3 linked regions of the Rhinolophus ferrumequinum genome follow. The protein of the gene in region 3 interacts with the protein of the main gene of each other region in a biochemical or structural test. Links are inferred from orthologs where the notes say so. Each region holds a gene or a part of one and is shown on either strand. Other genes may lie near its edges.

Evidence for each region. The genes of interacting proteins can lie anywhere in the genome.
Region 1: the proteins of SP1 (region 3) and RNF4 form a complex in vitro, tested with the Homo sapiens proteins (2 studies listed by BioGRID, with this or other methods). The link is inferred for Rhinolophus ferrumequinum from reciprocal best matches to the Homo sapiens genes SP1 and RNF4.
Region 2: the proteins of SP1 (region 3) and NFYA form a complex in vitro, tested with the Homo sapiens proteins (2 studies listed by BioGRID). The link is inferred for Rhinolophus ferrumequinum from reciprocal best matches to the Homo sapiens genes SP1 and NFYA.

What each region holds. Positions count from the first base shown.
Region 1 is NC_046288.1:86,741,068-86,748,292, forward strand, and holds the start of RNF4 (E3 ubiquitin-protein ligase RNF4), read right to left. Parts: upstream 3,012-7,225; 5' UTR 2,883-3,011; intron 1-2,882. UniProt on the Homo sapiens protein: E3 ubiquitin-protein ligase which binds polysumoylated chains covalently attached to proteins and mediates 'Lys-6'-, 'Lys-11'-, 'Lys-48'- and 'Lys-63'-linked polyubiquitination of those substrates and their subsequent targeting to the proteasome for degradation.
Region 2 is NC_046286.1:10,792,307-10,799,359, reverse strand, and holds the start of NFYA (nuclear transcription factor Y subunit alpha), read right to left. Parts: upstream 3,012-7,053; 5' UTR 2,884-3,011; exon of another isoform or gene 2,616-2,883; intron 2,335-2,615; exon of another isoform or gene 2,188-2,334; intron 2,179-2,187; exon of another isoform or gene 1,812-2,178; intron 1-1,811. Other genes in the region: ADP-ribose glycohydrolase OARD1, read left to right, coding at 3,563-3,601, 3,932-4,076, 5,096-5,154, 6,121-6,233. UniProt on the Homo sapiens protein: Component of the sequence-specific heterotrimeric transcription factor (NF-Y) which specifically recognizes a 5'-CCAAT-3' box motif found in the promoters of its target genes.
Region 3 is NC_046293.1:53,251,481-53,258,522, reverse strand, and holds the start of SP1 (transcription factor Sp1), read right to left. Parts: upstream 3,032-7,042; 5' UTR 2,934-3,031; coding exon 2,927-2,933; intron 1,869-2,926; coding exon 1,714-1,868; intron 1,416-1,713; coding exon 1-1,415. UniProt on the Homo sapiens protein: Transcription factor that can activate or repress transcription in response to physiological and pathological stimuli.

The DNA.
Region 1 (7,225 bases), on a different chromosome or scaffold from region 3:
GGAGCCTGAGGTTCAAAGGCTAGGTCTGCTTACCACCTGTGTGACCTTGAGCAAGCGACCTGACCGCCCTGTCTTCAGGACAGGTGAAATGGAGCGAGCCACAGCTACCTGGCAGGCGGGTCTGCAAGAGCCAAAATGGCGGCTGCTCAACAGCAGACGCCATCCCATTGCGAGCCAACAGCCACCCCTACAGACAGCTGCATCACGCTCCTAACACGGGAAGACCTGTCGTTCCGATTCCAAAACAAGGAGGCATCACCCTTAGTAATGTCACGTGGACATTGTTTCCTTTTAATTGTAAGTTTGTGAATGTCAAACCAACCTATAGAGAAAGCCAATTTACTCAGCTATCTGGAGGTGCATCCGTTCTGCAGTGCGTACCCCAGGAGACCACGTGGCTTCTTAAAAAGAAAACTCCCAGAAAGCCTTATGGTCACAATTTCTCTTTTGCACAAGAAAGCTACTGATAAGACTCAGCTTGCATCTTTTCCAGGCCTTTCCTATTCTGCATGGTGTGGTATTCCATAAAAGTGCCAGTTCTTATTCACACCCCGAAAAAACACTTGCAAGGAAATCCCCAATCCAGGGAGGGCACCCTCCGTCCTGACGCCAGGTCTCCTTTCACTTGAAATCTGACCTCGGGGTACAGCATCTGGGGCTCTGGGGCTCCCTCCTTCAGAGGAAACCTCAAAATGCCTTGCTCTCAACTCCCAAAGTCCTGCTGAAAAACCAGCTATTTAGAAAAGACAAGTCAGAAGGGCACACACGGGAATTATATCTTAGTAACAAAATCAACCCTGTAATATTATTCTACCGGAGCCTTGTCCTTCAAGGATTCCTACTTTGGGGACAATGTCTTTGGGGACAATGAAAGTAGGGCAATTGTTTCAAGGTAAGAAATGTAACACACATAGAACATACCAAGCCATTTTTACACAGCATACAAAGCAATCACCTCGTGCACATATTTTCCAGAAATTGGGGTGTGGGGGGGTAGAGACTACTAGATGTGGACTTTGCTAACAGCCTGTAGTAAAGAGGCTTTAAAAACTGCCCTGACTGGCTGTGACTCCCTCATCCAAGCAACCCTTTTCTCACTTCCTAACTGGTCCCAAGGCCACCAGTCTCGGCCACATTTCTAAGCCATCCTTCTCATAGCACAGTGATTTTTCTAAAATGCAAATGTAACTGGGTTACTTCCCTGATTAGGACTCAATTTAGTGATCTCCCACTTGGCCTTAAGACAAATTCCGAATTCCTCAGCAGGGAGGTACACCAAAGACCTGAGACCTGGTTCTTGCTTACCTTTCCAGTCCCATCTCTTGAACAGTTTGTATTTCCACTTCAGGGAACTTGTCTCCTTCCCTCCACCCTCAGGCCTCAGCCCCACCAGGTCCTGTATTTTGTTCACTGCTGTACCCCAAGCAGGAAGCTTGGCACACACAACCTTAAAAATGTGATTTAGAATATGCATCCTCAAATGGGAGCAAAAAGATCTCCCTCTTTTTATGGAGAAAGCATAGATATGCATACAGTACACAAGAAGGCATACATGTAAGCAGCACCAAAATTTCAAGAGGGCAGTTAGAAAAACAATGTCTAAAAAAGCTGGAGGGGGTGATCATTGTAAAAAGGTTAACACTGTATAAAGCAATATTTGTGAATAAGAGTTGGAAGCTCAAGTTCAAGCAATACAAAAGCCAGCAATAATACATCTTTCTTGATGGGAACTTGAATGTTCCCATCTCATCTCAAATTCATAGATAAAACTGAACCCAACATGTCTCTCCCCACACGTTAAAAAAAAAAATCACTAGAGGAAGAAAAGAAAAAAAAGACTTCTTTCATCGTCTCTCCTTTTCATTACCAGAGGTCCCAAAACTCCTGGTCACTGAACTCAAAGACCTAATCCTGCAGTTAGGAAAACGCGGTTTTAGATTCATTCCGCCGGCAGCTAGCTGGCTGTGTGACCTTGGGCAGCCCGCCCCAGTCACCCCAACCACTGAGGCAGCCTAGGCTGACTGCAGAGCTGAGACCCTAACTCTGGCTCCGAGGACTTGCCGCAGAAGCAGAACAAAGGTATGACTGCGAACGTCGATGGGCACGGACAAGGATAAAAGCCAAAACCCCACAAAAACGGCTACCGGGGGCTCCAGTCTCCTCCCTCGACGGGTCAAAGGGTGGAAAATGGCATTCACTGAGGACATGTTTCAGGTCTGCAGCCTTAGCGTCGGACCCTGATTCACCTTCAGGCACCTAAGGGGCGGGGTCTGGGCCACCGGCCCCAGCAGTCACGGGTTCCTCCAACCACCGGAAGCTGAGGACTGACTATGCTCCGGCCCCGGGCTGAGCGCCCCCTGGCCCAACTCCCACCTCCCCCAGCAGTGTCCAAGTCCACAGGAGGCTCCGCCACGCGGTTCGCGCTGGCTCACAGGCCCACGATGGCAGGGCGGCGGCGCGAACACACAAAGGAGGCGCTGTCGGCGGGGAACAAAAACCTTGCCTAGGTCTCCCCGGAACGGCCCACACAGCCCCCCGCCCTGGGCCGCCCTGCCCGACTCCCCGAGTGACCTTGGGCGCGTTCCTCCCCCTCCCAGCCTGTTTCCCCGGCTACTTTGCAGACTGAGCGCCGTGGCCGCTGCCCGCCCCGGCAGCGAAAAGCCAAGGTGGCCTCCGCACTTGTTGCACGGGCCAAACCGGGCTCGTGCAGCCGCGCGGACGGCGGGCGAGCCCAGCCTGCGGTTCCGGGAGAGGCCCGGTCGGGCGTCGGGGCCCGAGCGGGGTCGACCGCGCTAAGGCGGCTCCCTGGGCCGCGAAGCCGCCCGAAGCCCGAATCTGCCCGGCCTGGCTTGCCGCTCCCTCCCCGCGAAGCATGGACGTACTTGAAACTGGTTTAGTCCGGCAGGCGCCACCGCCGACGCATTCGAGGTAGGATGCACCTTCGAAAACTGCTGCTGAGAAGCCCTCCAGCGACACACCGCCGCCTCAATACCGATCCACTTCCGCTCCGGAGGCCTCAGCTCCGCCCCCCTCGCATCACCATTGGATGCCGCCGCCCGTACTCCCGCGTTCTACGGGTCGAGGAGGTATATTTTCAATTCTATTGGACAAAAAAACCATCTATTACCACTTTGAAAAGCGCCTTGTTCCGGCCCCGCCTACGCCCGTGAGCTCAAACTCCCGTCTTCTCGCGAGAGACGCGGTCGGCGCCCCAGCGCTCGCCCGCAAGACCTCTCGGGAGTTGTGGTCTGCGAACTGACACGGCCGTCGGGCAGCTCATACGCGTAGGTGAACGTTAGTTCAGGCCAGCCGTCCCGCGGCGCAAATACCCGGTACGCTCAGGCTCCGCTCCTGGCGTCGCTTTCCTCCCGTTAGTGAGGCCTTTGAGAGCAATGTTCCCGGGGTCTCTACTATCACCCGGAAAGTGGGCCTGGATCTGCAGCTCCTGCAGGGCACCTGCGACCCCCGGCGTGCCAGGCCCTAAGTCGGTGTATGGCCCCGTGATCCCGGACTTTCTCCCAGGCTGGTGGTGGAGACCGGAGGGAACCACAGCCGGTCCATCTGCGGGAACCCGGAAGAGGCACTCAACCAGAATTTAAGAGGGCTCCCCGGAGGAAGCGACCTCGGAGCTGAGAACTGGAAGGACTAGAAGGGAGAAGAGAGTTCCAAGTGGAGGGAACCCGGGTCGGGAGAGATGGGCTGGCATGTCCAGGAAACTGAAGGCTGCCCAGTGTGCCAGGAGGTTGGGACTGGTGTGGGTCGGGGGAGGCAATTAGATCTTGGAGGTTAGGAACCCGGTCCAGATGTCAGGTTAAGAGTCTGGATTATCCCTACCTGAGGCAATGGGTGTCAGGACCCGAACGACTGAACCCTTTCGTGGAGGAGCACTCTCATCCAGGTCTTGCCAAAGTGCGGCAGAAGCCTGGAGCTCTCAGGGGCCTCTGGTGCAACTCCAAGGGTCAAGAGAGTGCAGGCCCTGGATCCCTCCTGCCTGAGTGAGAATCCCAATTGTTTAAGCAAGTCTCACCAGTTATGTCACCTGTCATACGGGCATAATAACAGTACCTACCTCCGAGGGAGAAGGTGGCGAGCTGGAGGACTCAGCATAGCACTGCACAGGTGCACGCCAGCCCCTTTGTTCTGAGAATACCAGCTCTCAGGCCACCGCCATAACCTTTGGTCCCTAGGCGCCTTCAAGCAGTGAGGAGGTGACTTCAAATGCCTTGGCATGGACTGTGTTCTGAGAGGGGATCTTTAACCCAGAAGGTTGAATCATATATGGAACCGACTAAGCAAATCAAAACCAGACATTAATATTTTTGTGTTGAGGGGCCGACCTGGTGGCTCAGGCGGTTAGAGCTCCATGCTCCTAACTCCGAAGGCTGCCAGTTTGATTCCCACATGGGCCAGTGGGCTCTCAACCACAAGGTTGCCAGTTCAACTCCTCAAGTCCCACAAGGGATGGTGGGTTCCGCCCCCCTGCAACTAAGATTGAACACGGCACCTTGAGCTGTGCTGCAGCTGAGCTGCCGGATGGCTCAGTTGGTTGGAGCGTGTCCTCTCAACCACAAGGTTGCCGGTTTGACTCCCGCAAGGGATGGTGGACTGTGCCCCCTGCAACTAGCAACGGCAACTGGACCTGGAGCTGAGCTGTGCTCTCCACAACTAAGACTGAAAAAACAACAACTTGAAGCTGAAGGGCACCCTCCACAACTAAGATTGAAAGGACAACAACTTGACTTGGAAAAAAAAAAAAAAGTCCTGGAAATGCACACTGTTCCCCAATAAAGTCCTGTTCCCCTTCCCCAATAAAATCTTTAAAAAATATATATTTTTGTGTTGCGTTTATAAACAACCTCTGTGTTTAAAACGTTATGTAATTATAAGAGAATTTGGCATGGTAGAGTATAAGATAAACCTGATTTCCAGTGTGAACTATGTGGTTCAGTATTTAATTTTGATAGTGATTTTAAGTTGGAAGGTACAAGATTTTCCAAAGTTTGTGATCATAATTAGAATGTTAAAGAGAATTTAGAAGTTTAAGAGAAATGTAGACATTTAAACATCTATAGGAATTTTTAAATACTTGGTGGAGGACAACTAAAATGCTAAAATATAAATTTAGATTCTACATGTATACATGCAGTTTAAATGTTAAAGGAGATTTCAGCTTATAAACGGGACCATACAAGACTAATCAAAATGACAGCTACAAATGACCAGATTTATAAATAAGATTGTAGTTTGAATATCACAACCTAGTAAGAAAAGCTAGAGATTTCTATTTGTAACTTTTAACACATTAAAGATGTGATGTTGAAAAACAAAATCATGACAAATACCACTTTCGTCCTCAAAAGCTGCCCTCAAGTCCTCTCCAAACCTCACTTGACACTGAACTTCTGTGAGCATCCCTGGCTCCCTCACAAATCGTGCTTCCCTCTGGTCCTGAACGTCCCCAGCTTAGAGAAAAGGCTGGCACCTCAGTGCTCCCATGGTGCCACACAGCTAAGTGCAGATCCCTGGGCCTCACAAATGAATCTCTGGACGAGGCCTGAAAATGTGCTTTTTAACTTTCTCCAAAGCCCCCCACCCAAGTGAGTTTCAGATATTGTCAGTGCGAGTCCTTTGGCTGCACTTACGTAGAAAACACACGTTAGCAGAATGTCAGTTCCCCAGATGGTCCAGAGAGAGCTTTCTCACACCAGCTGGACCTTATCTTCCCTGGCTAGCCCTCTCGCCCAGGAAGCCTGCTTCTCTCTCCAAGGGTTTGTGCAGGGAGCAGGGCAAGCATCCTCAGCTCCTGAGGGCACATCAGTTACCTGTTGCTTTGGGAGAAACCTCAGAGCTAAGTGCTTTGAACAAACAGGCATTCATGGTTGCTCATGAATCTACAACTTAGTTTGGGGGGGCATGGGGAAGTTCTGGTCCTGGCTGGGCCCACATGTTGGAGTCTGCTGGTTTGTAGGGTGGTGGGGGATGATGGCCTCTGATGGGCCAACTGGCTTTCCTCCCCATGGTACCTCATCCCAGCAGACCACCTAGGCTGGGCAGGGTTTCAGAACAAGAGGGAGCTCCAAGGCCACTTGAGGCCCAGGCTCTAAACTGGCACACAGCCACTTTTTCACCCTATTGGCCAAAGCAAGTCAAGGGCTGGGGGAAATAGACTCTGCCTCCTGATGGGAGGTCACAAGGTGAGGGACATGGCTATGGGAAGACATTTTGCCATCAATCTACTGTGCAAAGCATGCCCCCGGCCACAATCTCAGGGGCTGGCCCAAGGCCTGCTCCCGCCCAGGTTTGTCTGGAGCAGAAGGTCCAGGTACTTTCGTGGCAGCTCCGAGCAGGTGACCAGTACAACAGGGCAGGTAGGGACCTTGGGGACCACCAACCAGCATTGTCAATAGCAACCAAATTGTTTGGGCCACAACCTCTGTCCCCTCTGCTCCAGAGGCTGGTCTGATAGGAGGAGGGTAATTCCTCTCTTACCACAGGGCTGGCTATGGGCACCCACGCAGACCTTCCCCTACGGCAGGAACTGGCTCAGCAAAGCACGGTCACTTCAGGCCAGTGACACTGAAACAGATGTTCACAAGGCTCCAAGGACAGAGAGGCTTACCTCCTATGAGAGCACCAGGAAGAGGTGGCTCTTCTTTCTCTGGATGTGGTGAGGCTGGAGCTGCTACTAGCTTGAGACAGAGCTCCTGGATCAGACCTGTCCTGAAGTCAAGCCTCCTTTGGGTTTACCAATTCTTAGAACTAGTAATTCCCCTTTTGAGTCCCTCCTGAGGGACTCTCTGGACAGGTTGCCATCAATGTATTCCCTTGGTATATGAAATGGGTTTAAATCACACAACACAGGATATAAAATGTCATGTTTATTTCTTTAAATGAAATGCAATCTGCTCCCAGCTCTAATTGGACCAGGAAGTTGGAAATTCCTCTTTTTACCAACCTTGGTTGTGGAAAAGTCCTGGGGTTCTGATGAGGTTCAGGGTATTGGGCGGGAACTCTGCTCTTTATCTATTCTGTTCTTGTCACTTCGAAATGCCCCCCTTCCTGATTTGAATGTGCCGTGGGGTCGAGCCTCGTCTGCTGAGGTGCCTTCTTCTCTGCAGACCCAAGAAGGATGGGGGGGGCAGGGATCTCTCCCCTGGACATCCACCCACCTGGGGGTTTCCAGCCCCTCCCTTACTGCCCCGCACCCCCTGGGCTGGCCCATACT
Region 2 (7,053 bases), on a different chromosome or scaffold from region 3:
GCATGAAAAACAAGACTAAAAAGCCCCATTTGTCAAGTGAAAGAGGCCAGACTACTGTCTCTCAAAATTCCAGGCAAAGAAGTTCCTCTGCAGACAGGTGGAGGCTCTACAGATGGTCCGCAAAAAAGTAAACAGACTGTAACTGCCTTTTAGAACATCTAGCAAAAGTGGTTGTTTTCAAGTCACCAGATACATACGTGTTTTGAAAAATATCTAAGACAAATTGCCTCTTGTTTTAACGTGGATAATAATTAACTGAATTTTTAAAAAATGATTTAAACAATGAAAAATTCGCCCTAAAAAGTGAAAACAAAAACGGTCTCCCAAGTTTTAACAGTAAAAGAGCACTGGACTAGGAGTTTTCTGAAACCTAGTAGTTGTATGAGCTTAGTAGATGTGATTATAAAAACCAGCACCGCATACCTTAATCTATGTGCTAGGGATTGCACTAGGCACTTCACATAAATACAAACTGTTAACGTCTGAGGGAAGAAAATTCCCTTTGTTCCCCAAAAGAAGCCAGCCACTGTTATGGGACAGAATCCCACAAGTCCGAAGTTTGTTTTTCCAATCTTACAAAATATTCCTCCCTAAGATAGACAAGTGCTTTTACCAGCTGGCCTAAACCGTCCCCACTGCTGCCCACTGCCCTTTCCCGTCTACCCTCTGAGCACACGGCACAATGTGGTGCCTCACCCCAGGCTCTTCTCTCTGTGAGCAAGGCTCCTGTATTCTGTCCCATTAGAAGAAACCCCATCCTTCTTGGAGGCCCATCAGAAGTGTGGCTGTGTTAAGCCTTCCACCGAGGCTACTGGTAGCTCACACACCAGTACTGTACTTTGCAGAACTGAACTTGGTCCCGTTATTCCACTAACCGTTAGGTATTAGTTGTTCACCTGTCAATCTCCACCAGCAGGGAAGGTGCTCGTTTACCTTTACCCACTCCCACCCCAGCACAGAGACGTACGTCTGTTCCACACTAACTGCTCCAGATTTGCCTGTCAACAGGTATTTCTCCTAATCCTAATGAAAACCCCACGACATCTGTTGAGAACATGTCAACATGGAATTAGAAAGGATGTTATAAAAAAATAAACCAAGAGACAGCTGTGGACTGAGCTAACTGCGTCAAGCCGGACACGTTCAAAGTGACACAGAAAGGTGAAAGAAAAATGAATTGTACATCCTCGGGGGAAGGAGCGTTCGCACGATGAGCGACGGATGAGTAACCAAATCGTAAGCAAGCTGTGCAGCCTCCGGGAAAAGGAACGCACAGGGCCAGCAGTTTTCTCCAAGTGAGGTTCCAGGCAGCGAACGGACGGGCCTTGGCGCCCGGGGGAGAAAGGGAGACGGTCTGGTTGGGCTCCAAGACTGAGGTGTGCGGGTCGGGCCTGGCAAGCGGGGCGGGGATTAGAGGAAATGACGAGCCAAAAAGGGGGTGGCAACGGCGCCGGGCCGCAGACCCGGGCCGAGCGTGCTGGGAGGGACGCAGCGGGTAGGGGGAGTGGGCAGACGGCCTCCCCGCCATCCGGTCCGCGGAGACGGCGGGGGCGGGCGGGCGGGCCGGCCCCCTCTCCCCGCCGCACTCGGGCCCTGTGGGTCATGGCACGTGTCTTGCCCAGTCTTCCCTGCGGACCCAGGAGGGCGACAGACAGACCCAGCTCACGGAGGGCTGGGGTACGCGGGCCCCGCGGGGGGAGGTGTCCCGTCCCGAGCGCCGGAGCGGGAAGAGAGCAAGGGCGGGCTTAAGTGTGAGGTCGGAACCACCAGGAGAAAACCGCCGAGGCAGCGAGGCGTGCGCGTGTGTGTACCTGAGCGTAGGGGCATTCGTGGCAGGCAAGCCCGCCACTCCCGAGCCTGGGGCCTGAGAACCGGGGCCTAAGAGTTGGGGGAACCGGGACGCATCCCCAACTGGCTCCGGCACCCTGCAAGTGTTTGGACCCCGAGGTGCCTGCCCCCGGGGGCGCCATCTCCGTGCGGGGCGGCCCCCTGCAGGCCTCGGCCGGGAGTGCCCCGCGGCGCTCGCAGGCTCCCAGCCGGGGGCCCCAGCCACCCCATTCGGCTAGGCTCAGCTCGACTCCCCAGGCTCGACGGGCGCCTGGGCCTCTCCTGAGTGGTCAGCGAGACCCGCCAATCGGGGCGCTGGGGCCGGCTCTGGGCCGCTGGATATTGGCTCCTCACACTCACCGTGCCTCGCTCCCCCGGTTCGCTGCCCGCGCTGATTGGCTCCAGTACCGGACTCCGAAACCCAATCAGAGGCTCCAGCCGCCGCTGCCGCCGCCACTGCCGCTGCCTCGCAAAATGGCGAACCCGAACAAAGGGGAATCGGGCCTCCCTCCAACCGCCTCCGCGCAGGCGCCTCTGAGGCCACGCCCCCTAACCCCCCGCTCGGGGCTCGCCCCACCCCCGTTGAAAGAGCACTGCGCAGGCGTCCCCTTAAACCACGCCCACTTTCCTAATTAGGTACCACTACCGACCGGAGGAATACGCAGGCGCCCTGGGCACGCCCCAAACCGTGCGACTCCAAACACCGTTCTGAACGCAATACTACGCAGGCGCTAACTAGCTTCTTTGCCAACCTCCAACCCCTTTCTATGCGGCCACTGGAGACACACCTCTGGGGCTAATGCGCAAGCGCCGTTTTTCCCCCGCTCGAGGTCGGCTGTCTCGTTACGCATGCCCGGGTGGCGGCAGGAGACTCCGCAGAATTCACCGCCGGAAGTTCGGCGGCCATAACCAAAGAGTGCAGTTTCGGCTAGCTAGCTAGAGGGGCTCGTTTCCGCATCGCTCCCGGGTAGTGGGCGGCCATCTTAGGTGCGTGCAATTAAAGGGCTGTGGCGGGATTGGCTCCGCGTCTGGACTTGTCTGCTGTTTCCCACCTACCAGGGCCGGATCTGGAGCCCTTTCCCGTGGGGCGGGACCTCGTAACGCCGACTCCAGGTGAAGGGTAACTGGTACGTTGGGGCGTTGAGCGAGCCTTCCCGCTCCTTCCCCCGGGACTCCGGGACAGGCTCTGCACCTCGCTGACCCGCCGTAGGGTAGGAAACAGAGAATGGGAGGCTTCTCTAGACTTCTTGCCCTACCCCCCAAAAGGGGAGGAAGCCTTTCTTGAGAGGCCACCTTTCCTCTCCTCTTGCCTACGGCCGGGCAGTACACTCCCCCTGGTCCGTACACTCCCTAGTTGCGGCCCCAAGCCCCTCCCTTTTTCTTGTAGGCCAAACCTACTGAGTTTAAGGAGCCCGTCCTAAATCCGCCCGCCTCGGGCGCGGGCCAAGGAGGAGGCGTGTCGTGGGGCCGCCTTTTCTTCGCTGGCGGAGCGGGGCGCTCCAGGAAAGCGCGAAATACTAGCGGGCCTGGCTGCCTGCGAACCTAGGCAGGCTGCCTCGCCCCAGAGCACTTCTGTGTTCCTTCCAGAGGCTGAACGAACTCACTTTCAGTTGGGGCAACAAGGGGGTGGTCGGGGCGATCTGGCTATAATATATTCAGGCTGCCTAAGCATTTGTCCTTTTCCCTTCTCGTAGCTGAAGAAACATTTTAATTCTGGAGATACCGACTCAGTATCATGGCCGGCAGCCCTAATGAAGATCCAGAAGGAAGCAGAGTGGGTAACAACTGTTAACTTAGTGGTGAACTGAAATTCAGAATAATTGAGGTTACAAGCATAAACACTTTTTAATTAAACCAATAATTGAATTGTCTTTTTCCCCCCCTCTAGCTGGTTTACTTCAGAAAGGCTAATACAACTTAGGCAGAGACCGTCTGTCACTTTTCTTTACACAAGCTTTAATTCATTGTGGTTAACCCCTTAAATTCTGAGGATTTGGCTTTCAATGAGGGGTGGGGCGGAGGACACAGTAAAGGAAAGTGAAAGTAATAGTGTAGTATTTTTCAGTATCTAATAAAACATTTTCTTTCCCTTTGCCCGTTTCAGATCACTTATGTGAAAGGAGACCTTTTTGCATGCCCCAAAACAGACTCTCTAGCCCACTGTATCAGTGAGGATTGTCGAATGGGGGCTGGGATAGCTGTACTCTTCAAGAAGAAATTTGGAGGGGTGCAGGAACTGTTAAACCAACGTGAGTTTTGAAAACAGTTTAACTTGCCCTCACTAGAGCCTCTTTTGACTGTGTTATATTAATACTTTAATTATTAAACAAGATACATATGCAAAGAGCGAGTTCATAACCACGGAGTACTTTTAACTCATCAGATTCAGCTTTTCCTCCACAAAACTGGTCTCTAGTTTGGGTCCTTATCACACCTAACCTGAATTCTTGTAAAAGTCGCTGATCTCTTCCTCCTCTGTCATAAAACTGAATAATACTCCACTTCTCGGAAACCCTTAATAACACTGGAGTGCGTAGCAAAGTCCACAGGCATTAGCTTGGCATTCAGAATCCTCTGTTCACGGATATCGCATTCAGGAGTTTAGAATCCTCCGCTTCCTTATAGACCCCCCCATCACTTTCTACCAATGATTTTAAATCAGAGATGTGTATCAGAATCATGTGGAGTTTCTGGAACAGTTGCTCAGACCACAGTCCAGGCTTAATCAGGGTCTCCACTGGCAATTCTGATGCCAGCCTTTAAAAGAGCAATTTCTTATTGCTTTGTATTGTTATTTGTAAACATGACACCTTTTCTTGATTGAAAACTCATAATAATTAGGAACCTTTTTATACACCTGTGGTCTCTGTAACGCTTAAACGTTAGCTCTTTGTATGTAAAAAGATCATTATTGAATGAACACACAGTTGGCAAATGAAAAATGCTGTACATTCTAAAATATTTCAAGGCAAAAAAACTACACATTAAAGTTTTTTAAGTGAACAAATAAGGGTGTATTTGAAAATAAGGGCAGGACAAAAGATAGGGGGTGAGGAAAACATTGAGAAAACATAATTAAAGAAGGTAGAAGTTAAGAAAATGCAGTATTTAGGAATGCTGATAAGAAGCAAAGTGTTCATAGGAGACAATAGATTTCTTTAGATTATTTCCAGTTCTGAGGTTAACTCAGATCTGTAAAGATTTCTTAAAATCTAAGAATGGAGATAAGTGTTTTGATTTTCCTTTCTATGAAATAACTTTCTCTTAGAAAAGAAATCTGGAGAAGTGGCTGTTCTGAAGAGAGATGGGCGATATATATATTACTTGGTAAGATAACTCTCCGAGTTGTAAGGGTTGGTGACCCGGGGAGCTGTGCGGAATTTGTGTTGATCATTCTAGACGGGCAAAGACATCAAAAAGCCTCTGATCTCATGCCAGCTCAGATCCAGTGGTGGTGGTGATTTGGAGCTGTGGGTTAGAAAGGAACATGAAGCTGCATCCTAGTTCCATGGGAAAGAGTATTGTGACATCAACCAAAGGTCTGTGTTCTAAGATTTGCAAAAAGTTAGGGATAACTAGTCATAGTGAGACAGAAACGAGACATTGCTCAAAGGAGTTTTTCCTCTCATTCTTCCCTATCAAATGCGCTTAACTCCTTTCCTTCCTCTGCCTCAGTGTGAGATTCTTCCACTGTCCAAATGGTTTTCGGCCCCAGAAAGAGTGTGGCTTCTTGGTGATGGTGCTGGGTGAGTTATAGGCAACCCACTAGAAGCTTGTTTTGGACAGCACACTGAGTGGGTTCATGAATGCTATCTTTAAGGCTGATGTTATTCCCAGTATTATTTGGGACGCTACCAGTTTCTCTGTTCTTTTATAGAAAAACAAAAAGCAAGCAAGCATGGTTTCTAAATAAATAGACGGAACAGGAAATTTTCAGGTAGTATTCGGTTCTTCCTTTAACTAGAGATTTGCAGTTTATCTCTTGGAAGTGGCACAAAGACTTTCACCTACCTTGCTGAAAAACAATAGACAGTAGGCACAGCCTGTTAACCTCCTGGGCGTCTTGAGAAAAGGAAAGATTATTATGTGGCAATGTCTGGGTTTCTTAGGCCCTATGTAGTGGATTTTCCTGAGGACCTCCCATCACTGAACGGGACACTATTTTTCATCCTTGCTCTAGACTATTCTATAAAAATGCAGTCATCATTTTATCAGGATGTTGGGAGAATGTGATGGCTTTCTTTTGCTATCAATTTAGACTAATAGAAGTTTGAATTCTTTCTTTGTACTCAGATTACAAAGAAAAGGGCTTCACACAAGCCAACTTACGAAAATTTACAGAAGAGTTTAGAGGCCATGAAGTCCCATTGTCTGAAGAATGGAGTCACCGACCTCTCCATGCCCAGGCAAGGAAATCCAAGGCTCTAAGTGAAGATTTACTTGATTGGTGGAGGTTACTGTCTTATCCAAAAACAAATGGCTTAAAAGCTTAATCCAAAATATGGACTTAAAGGTGGACAATTTCAAAACTTTAAAAAATCGCCAGTGAATCAGTTGTCAGACCTTAGGCTAAGGCCTACCCATTTATTAGTATAGGTTGAAAGAATCAGGGCAATGAACTTAAAACACACACCTGCCTCAGCCTATGTAGTAGGGAAGAACCATTGTTCAATCACATTTAAATTGTAAACGATCACTGCCTTTTAAACTGCATACTTGTTTGTGGTCACCATGGGCAGTTAGCCAGAGGCCAGGTCACATCAGCTGGGTCCTGGATGTGACGTCTTAGACCCTACCTATTGGGAACTTAAGGAGTGACATTGAGGGTTCAGTATCCCCTTTACCTCCTTTTCAGGCAATAGGCTTGGGCTCACTTCTCTTGTCAGTCTAATTTTAAGTTAGGGCTGACCGTGCATGCAGGTTTATTCCAAGGTCCAAGGCTACAGGGTCCCTCATCTTACACTGGTCTTTACTGTATTTATGGATTATGAATCAGAAACTTTTTTTAATCACAATTTTTTTCAGGGACTTAATCATCACGTATGAAATTAGCAAATTTTTTTAATTTTAATTTTTTTTATTTTATTGGGGAACAGTGTGTTGCTCCAGGGCCCATTAACTCCAAGTCGTTGTCCTTCAATCTACTTGTAGAGGGCACAGCTCAGCCATGTCCAGCTGCTGTTTTCAATCTTAGTTGCAGGGGGCCCAGCCTACCATCTCATGTGG
Region 3 (7,042 bases):
ATAGAGGAGAGCTGAGCAGCATTCACAGTGACGGTGCCGGCAGGGATAGAGGCAGCTGAGGCAATGGGTGTAAGGGTGGTATTGCTGCTGCTGGTCTGCCCCAGGGAAACACCCTGCATTGGGGCCAGCGTGATTGTCTGGGCCTGTGGGTTCTGAACTTGGAGGTTTTGCAGCTGAAGAGTCTGCCAACTGACCTGTCCATTGGGCCCCACTGTTGGTGTCCGGATGATGATGGGGCCAGAGTTTGGAACAGCCTGCAGCTGTAGGTTCTGGAGGGTTTCCTGGGAGATAGCTTGAGTCGTAAAGGTCTGCCCTGACAATGGTGCTGCTTGAAGAGCCTGGAGGGTCTGTCCTCCTTGAACTAGCTGAGGCTGGATAAGAATTTGTTGTTGCTGTGACTGCTGGTTTTGCTCTCCCTCTTTTTGCTGACTTGCTTGCATTGAGCCTCCGGATGTCTGGTTCTGCTGGATGTTTAGAGTATCAGACCCCTGTAGCCCACTGACTCTCTGGGGTGTCTGGCCTTGAGAGTTGGTCCCTGCTGATCCGCTGGTGGTAAAGTTCATAATTCCCATGTTGCTGGTGGTAGTAGTTGTTGAATAGCTATTGGCATTGGTGAAAAAGGAGCTGGAACTGGCTTGTGATGATACCAAAGTGGCAGAACTGATGGCAGTCCCTGAGGTGACGGGCTGGGAGCCACTCTCCTGGGACCCAGAGCTGCTGATAGTGACTGCCTGAGAGCTAGGAGTCAAGGTAGCTGCAGAAACGCTATTAACAGGTAGCAAAGTGATATTCCCATTCAGGGCCACTGGTACATTGGTCACATACTGAGTTTGTCCTGAGAGTACATTATTAGCCAGGCCTTGCAGGGGGACAGCCTGTTGGAGTAGATTTGGCATAGCAGCAATGATGTTGCCTCCACTTCCTCGATTTGTGATGATCTGTTGGTTTGCACCTGGTATGATCTGTATTTGACCAGAACCATCCTGCTGCACTTGGGCCCCAGTGGCAGCGAATTGCAGCTGTTGCCCATCAACGGTCTGGAACTGTGGGATTACTTGATACTGAATGTTAGGCATCACTCCAGGTAGTCCTGTCAAGACTTGCTGGTTCTGTAAGTTGGAGGTGGCAGCCACAACATACTGCCCACCAGAGACCGTGCGATTCTTGGAAGACTCACTGCCATTGCTGCCATTGGTACTGCTGCCACTCTGTTCCTTTGAGGTAGGGGTAGCCCCAGAGGAGGAAGAGATGATCTGCCAGCCATTGGCACCCTGTGAGAGTTGTGTGGCCGTGAGGTCAAGCTCACTGGTGCCCCCTGACTGGCCTGGGCCCTGCGAGTTGTTGCTGTTTTCATTGGGTGATTCAATTCTGCTGCAAGTTGCTGCCAGCAGAGCCAAAGGGGATGGCTGGGATTCCTGGCCAAAAAATAAGACAGAGGAAAGGAATCAGTTCAGTGACACCCAGCTGCGGGGGGAGGGGGGGGGGCAGTATACTATAAACAAACAGCAACACAGTGCAAACAAATAAAGAGAAAATGAACAAAACGCTGAAATTGACATTTTTGGGGCTCTCCCAATCACTTGTCTCTCTGTACTTACTTCCCTATCTCTAAAAGGGTGAACCCCTTCCTAAATTCTTTTCTGTGGAGATAATCACCTAAAGATGGGTACATCCTCTCAACACCTTGGCCGCTCTGTCCTGATCAGCACTTACCTGTCCTCCTCCTCCACTGCTGCTGCTACTGCCTGTGCTGCTGCTTCGAGCCTGGGAAAAGGCACCACCACCATTACCATTGCCCCCATTATTGCCACCAACTCCTTTTTCAATCTTCACCACGGCTGTCATTTCATCCATGGAGTGATCTTGGTCTAAAAAGAATGAAAGGATAGACAACTTAAAGTTGAGGGAAGGAAAAGGGTAAAGTGAGGAAGAATAGAAGAGGCTATGATGAAACAGGCATGACTAACAGGAAGGTGAAACATGCCAGCGTAAAAAAAAAAAAAAAGGATTGGGGGAGAAGGAACAGTTGTAGAATGTGTAGCACATGAGCTAGGCTTATTGGTGCCAAAACTGGGCCTCAACTCTCCTTTGCACTAAGTTAAACTCAGAAAATATTGAAAAGGTGCTTTTGGCATAGGAAGTGTGAAGGACAGTGGGCATGTTGAAAGAGTTTCAAAACAAGAAAAAGTATCCTGGGGGAAAAAAATAAGGATAAAACAAAAAACAACATGTGGGTGGATGGAAAGCTTGCTAAAATTAGGGTCAAAAGAGATGGAGAAAGAGAAAAATTCAAGTGTAAAAAGTAACAAGAGAGGAGGGCAAAGGGAAAAAAAGTTGAGAAGTGTGAGTGGGGAAACATTTGTGAATACTGGTGGTAAGGGGCTAAACGGGTCCAGGACACAGAAATCAGGTTTCCTGGCGGACTGAGGGCGGACCCTAGAGGGAAAGGGCGGTTTCGGGGTGAGGGGCGTGGAAAGGGCGGGACAGTGGGGGGGAGGGGAAATCTACGGAAGGTGGGGAGGGCCCTGGGGCAGGCGGCGACCAGAGGGCGGACCAGGGAGGCGGTTGGCCCGGGCGGGGCCTGCACTGCTCGGGCCGCCCCCGCGGCTCCAGCCCCCGGCAGGAGGAGCCTTAGGCAGGCGGCCGAGTAGTGGGGGGTAAGGCCCGTCCCCCCCGTGGCCGGGGCGGGCAGGGGGCGGGCGAGGCCACTCTGCCCCCTCCCCCGGGGCGGGCGGCCCATCCCCCTCCTCCTCGGAGGCCCCGCCACTGCCCCTTCTCCCTCCCTTCCCTCCGCCCCGGGCGGGACCAAGGCCGCCGCCGCCGCCTCCCGCCCGCCCCCCCTCATGGCGGGGACCGCCTGGTCGGCCCTCGCGCGCGCCCCCTCATTCCCCTACCACCCCTAAGCTTGGAGTGGACTCATCCTTACCGCTCATGGTGGCAGCTGAGGGACGAGCTCAAGGGGGTCCTGTCCGGGGGGGTTGGGGGGGGCCGGGAAAAACGCGGACGCTGACGAGGCAAACGAACCCGTACCGGACAGGGAGGGGGGGGTAAGGAGGAGGGAGCAGCGCGCCACAAGCCCGGCCTAGGCCCCTCCCCTTCACTGCTGCCCCGCCCAATGAGGGAGGGAGGAAGGAGGGACTTGCAGAAGAAAGGCGGGCAGGTTACCCAATGGTAAGACTCGCTTACTCTCTAAGGCGTGTAAGACAAAGTTGCGTGCCCGGTGTCCGCCCTAAAAGGCCGCCCTCTCAATTTTCAAAACCAATGAAAGACGCAGGAAGTGAATGTGGGCGGGAGCTAGAAATGATAGGCTTGGAAAGGAACCAGTCAACTGCCAGGCGGGCTCCTTGAGAGGTAGAGATAGGAAGAGCTTTGGTTGGAGTGACAAAACAACGACCAACCAGAACCCTGGACGTGCCTGAGCAAAGTCCCAGTGGGAGGAGCGATAAGAAGTAGGCAGGAATGGGAGAGGATGAAGTTGATCAAAACCAATCAGAAATCAGGCGGGCAGCCAGGAAAGTTGTGATTGGATTAACGCTGAAAAGAGACAAGATAAGACGCAAATTGACGGGAACTAAAAGCCAATTAAACACCGAATGAACTCTAAGGGTGGGAACTCGGAGTAGTCAGAGGAGAATTGGCGTCTCACTCAGTCACTCAGTCCAATGAGGCGGCGAAGGAAGCCAGACACCGCCTCCATCTTGGCTGATGGGCGTTACTAGAGCCGCCTCTCATGGGGGAGGGAACAGGGCTGTGCCAAGAGGAGTCCGTCGCCATATTGGCCCTCCTCAGGGGACGTCTTTACAGTGACTGGGTGCTATGCTTTAGCGGAGCCCTCTAGCTCAACAAGTGTCAGGGCCAAGAAACTCAGTGTGCAGTTCTGCCTCGCCACCAGGGCTCTTTTACGTCTTCTTTTAACGTCCCTTAAAAAAAAAGTATTTCTCAAGTCTCACTCTACCCAGGCTGGGCGGACAGGCAGTCGGATGCCTCTGAACGTGGGTGTAAACCCTGAGGGTGCCAGCGCAATGAGATCTGGCGACGTTGCTCACGCCTTCAGTCAACACTGAGCTGACCAATTTGCAAGGCCTTTGTGAGATTACAGCAAACGCCATTTTATTAAATTTCCCCAAAGGTGCTGACCACTTAATTTATGGCAGATTAACTTTTCAAGAACTCTTGAGGCTAAAGTGCACTGGAGAACCCAGAGTCAAGGTCCTGTAAGCCACTTACTCCCCCGCCACTTGCAATTGTAAATGCCGTCTAATCATAAAACAAGGTAGTAGAACAGTTTTTTTGTTGTGGTTGTTTTTTTTACAACTACAAAGGTTTTAAAGGAGCTATTTCCCCAGGTACCTGAATTTCTGCTCTCCCATCCTGCCTTCCTTTTCTAGTTTTGGTGGAGGCAGCCTGGGTGGTTTGTGGTCAAGAATGATGAGGTCATTCTCTTTAGCACTTGTATGTTATATATGTTATCACTTAAATAGCTACAATTTCAGCGCTTGTGATAGGTTGTCATGTTTTAAAGTCTGGATTCCCCTAAAACAGACCTCTGCAGTCTTGGGCAGGGCCTGAAGACAGGTGACGTGATTGTTGAATGTGTTAGGTGCCTAGGTCAGTTAGGTGTTTTGCATTCTTTATGTCATGCTCATATGGAAGATACTAGTAAGTTTTAGAGATTATATGTTTTATAACTGAAGAAATTAAGGCTGGGAAGTAACTTGCCCAAGGTCACAAAGCTAATAAGTTGTAGTTCCAGATTCCAACCCAGAATAGTACCACAAAAAGTCTTGTATAAATTCTTTGTAGAGAATAAAGCAATGCCTTGTATAACCATTTAGAAAAATGGCTTAATAAAAAAAAATTTCTGCCTCCTTCGCTCTCCCATCTTTCCCTCCTCTGGCTTTTTCTTCCTAACTCAAGGAAGTCCGCTTCCCCGAAGGGGTCTGAGCCTTTATTGTTTTTTTGTTTTTTTTCTTTTTCTTTATTGTTTTTTAAAAATGCTTTTATTTTTTTATTTATTTATTTTTTTTAAAGATTTTATTGGGGGGGAACAAGACTTTATTGGGGAACAGTGTGTACTTCCAGGCCTTTTTTCCAAGTCAAGTTGTTGTCCTTTCAATCTTAGTTGTGGAGGGCGCAGCTCAGCTCCAGGTCCCGTTGCCGTTGCTAGTTGCAGGGGGTACAGCCCACCATCCCTTGCGGGAGTCGAACCGGCAACCTTGTGGTTGAGAGGACACACTCCAACCAACTGAGCCATCCGGGAGCTCAACGGCAGCTCAGCTCAAGGTGTCCTGTTCAATCTTAGTTGCAGGGGGCAGAGCCCACCGTCCCTTGTGGGACTCGAGGAGTAGAACCAGCAGCCTTGTGGTTGAGAGCCCAGTGGCCCATGTGGGAATCGAACCGGCAGCCTTCGGAGTTAGGAGCACGGAGCTCTAACTGCCTGAGCCACCGGGCCGGCCCTTAAAAATGCTTTTATCATGTTACCTTCTAGCTCCTGAAAAAATGCTGCCATACTTCCAGGATAGTTCAAATGGCACCCTCGCCTTGTACACCTTTATTAGAAAACATCACAGTACATTATAGTTAGCAGCGTCTCTCCCTAGATCAAAGCGTCTCACACTATGTCAGACAATCCCCATCAGAAGGCTGTGGGCTGCTTTTTAAAAAGGTCGATTCCACTAACAATTGTCACCCCAATAAATTAAAAATAAATTTAATAAAAAAAAAAAAAAGTCAGATGAGGTGTCATCAGAAAATATAACATAGATTCAAAATATGATAGCAGCACCATACATTAATTCTAAATCAATATTACTGTATGATTATCAAAACTTTTGTATGCTTAAATTACTCATTTCTCCATAGCAAAATAAAGATACCTATTTGATTATAAAAAAAAAAAAAAAAAAGGTCGATCCCTAGACCCCATCTCAGATGGAATAAATCCCATTCTCTCCGGTGGGGCTTGACAGTATGCATTTTGTAGTAGCTCTTTCAAGTGATTAGTCCCTAAACCAGTTTTAAGAAACACTGTGGGAAGAAACTGGAGAGAAGAAATTTCCAGAAGGGAAGAAACTTCCCAAGGGAAAAAACTGCATTAGTCATCTTTGTAAACCAAGCTGTCAAGATTGTAACAGCTGTTCAGTGCATTCAGCCTAAGACCACACCTAAACTGGGGGGGCTAACATTGTAGAGCAGTCCTCTGAACATTTCACACACATTGTCCAACTTAATCCTTTCAACCAATTGAAGAAACTGCCATCTCCTTTTACAGATGAGAAAACTGAAGCTCAGATACTTCCGTTAAATTCATGACTGCTCTGTTTAATCCCAAACTTTGTGTTTTTTCCATGGTTCTAAGCTATGCCTAAAATGAGAACTAGGGTTGGATTTTATCCCAGATACTGAGAAAAGGCTTAGATATAGACTCAGCAATTCCGGAGCCATCATCCTTTTCCCAATACTGTTTCTCCAGGACAAGACAAAATTCAGAACCTGGCTAGTGAGGGATGGTTGCTTATTGATGGTCCCTGAAAGCAAATGGGCATGATCCATCTTGTCCAATTATCTGTAAAACCTGAACAAATTTTTTTTAGACTTAACACAAAAACCAAAAATGAATCAACTTATTTCAAGGCTTCTTAAATCACTTAATTCCTAATGACTGTGTTTTAAAAACACAGTGTTTTAAAAAGCAATGTAGGGGGCGGCCGGTTAGTTCAGTTGGTTAGAGTGCTGTGCTCTTAACAACAAGGTTGAGGTTTCAAATCCAGCATGGGATGGTGGGAGGCGCTCTGTGCAACTAAAGATTGAAACCGGCAACTGGACTTGGAGCTGAGCTGTGCCCACCACAACTAGATTGAAGGACAACAACTTAGAACTAATGGACCCTGGAGAAACACACTGTTCCCCAATGTTCCCCAATAAAATTAATAAAAGGAAAAAGAACGAGTTCTATGAAGTCTTTCCTACCTCCCGCAGGTATTGAATACTCTGTCTACCGTGTTTGGTTTACACACCTCCACTAGAGGTATCTAAATATCTG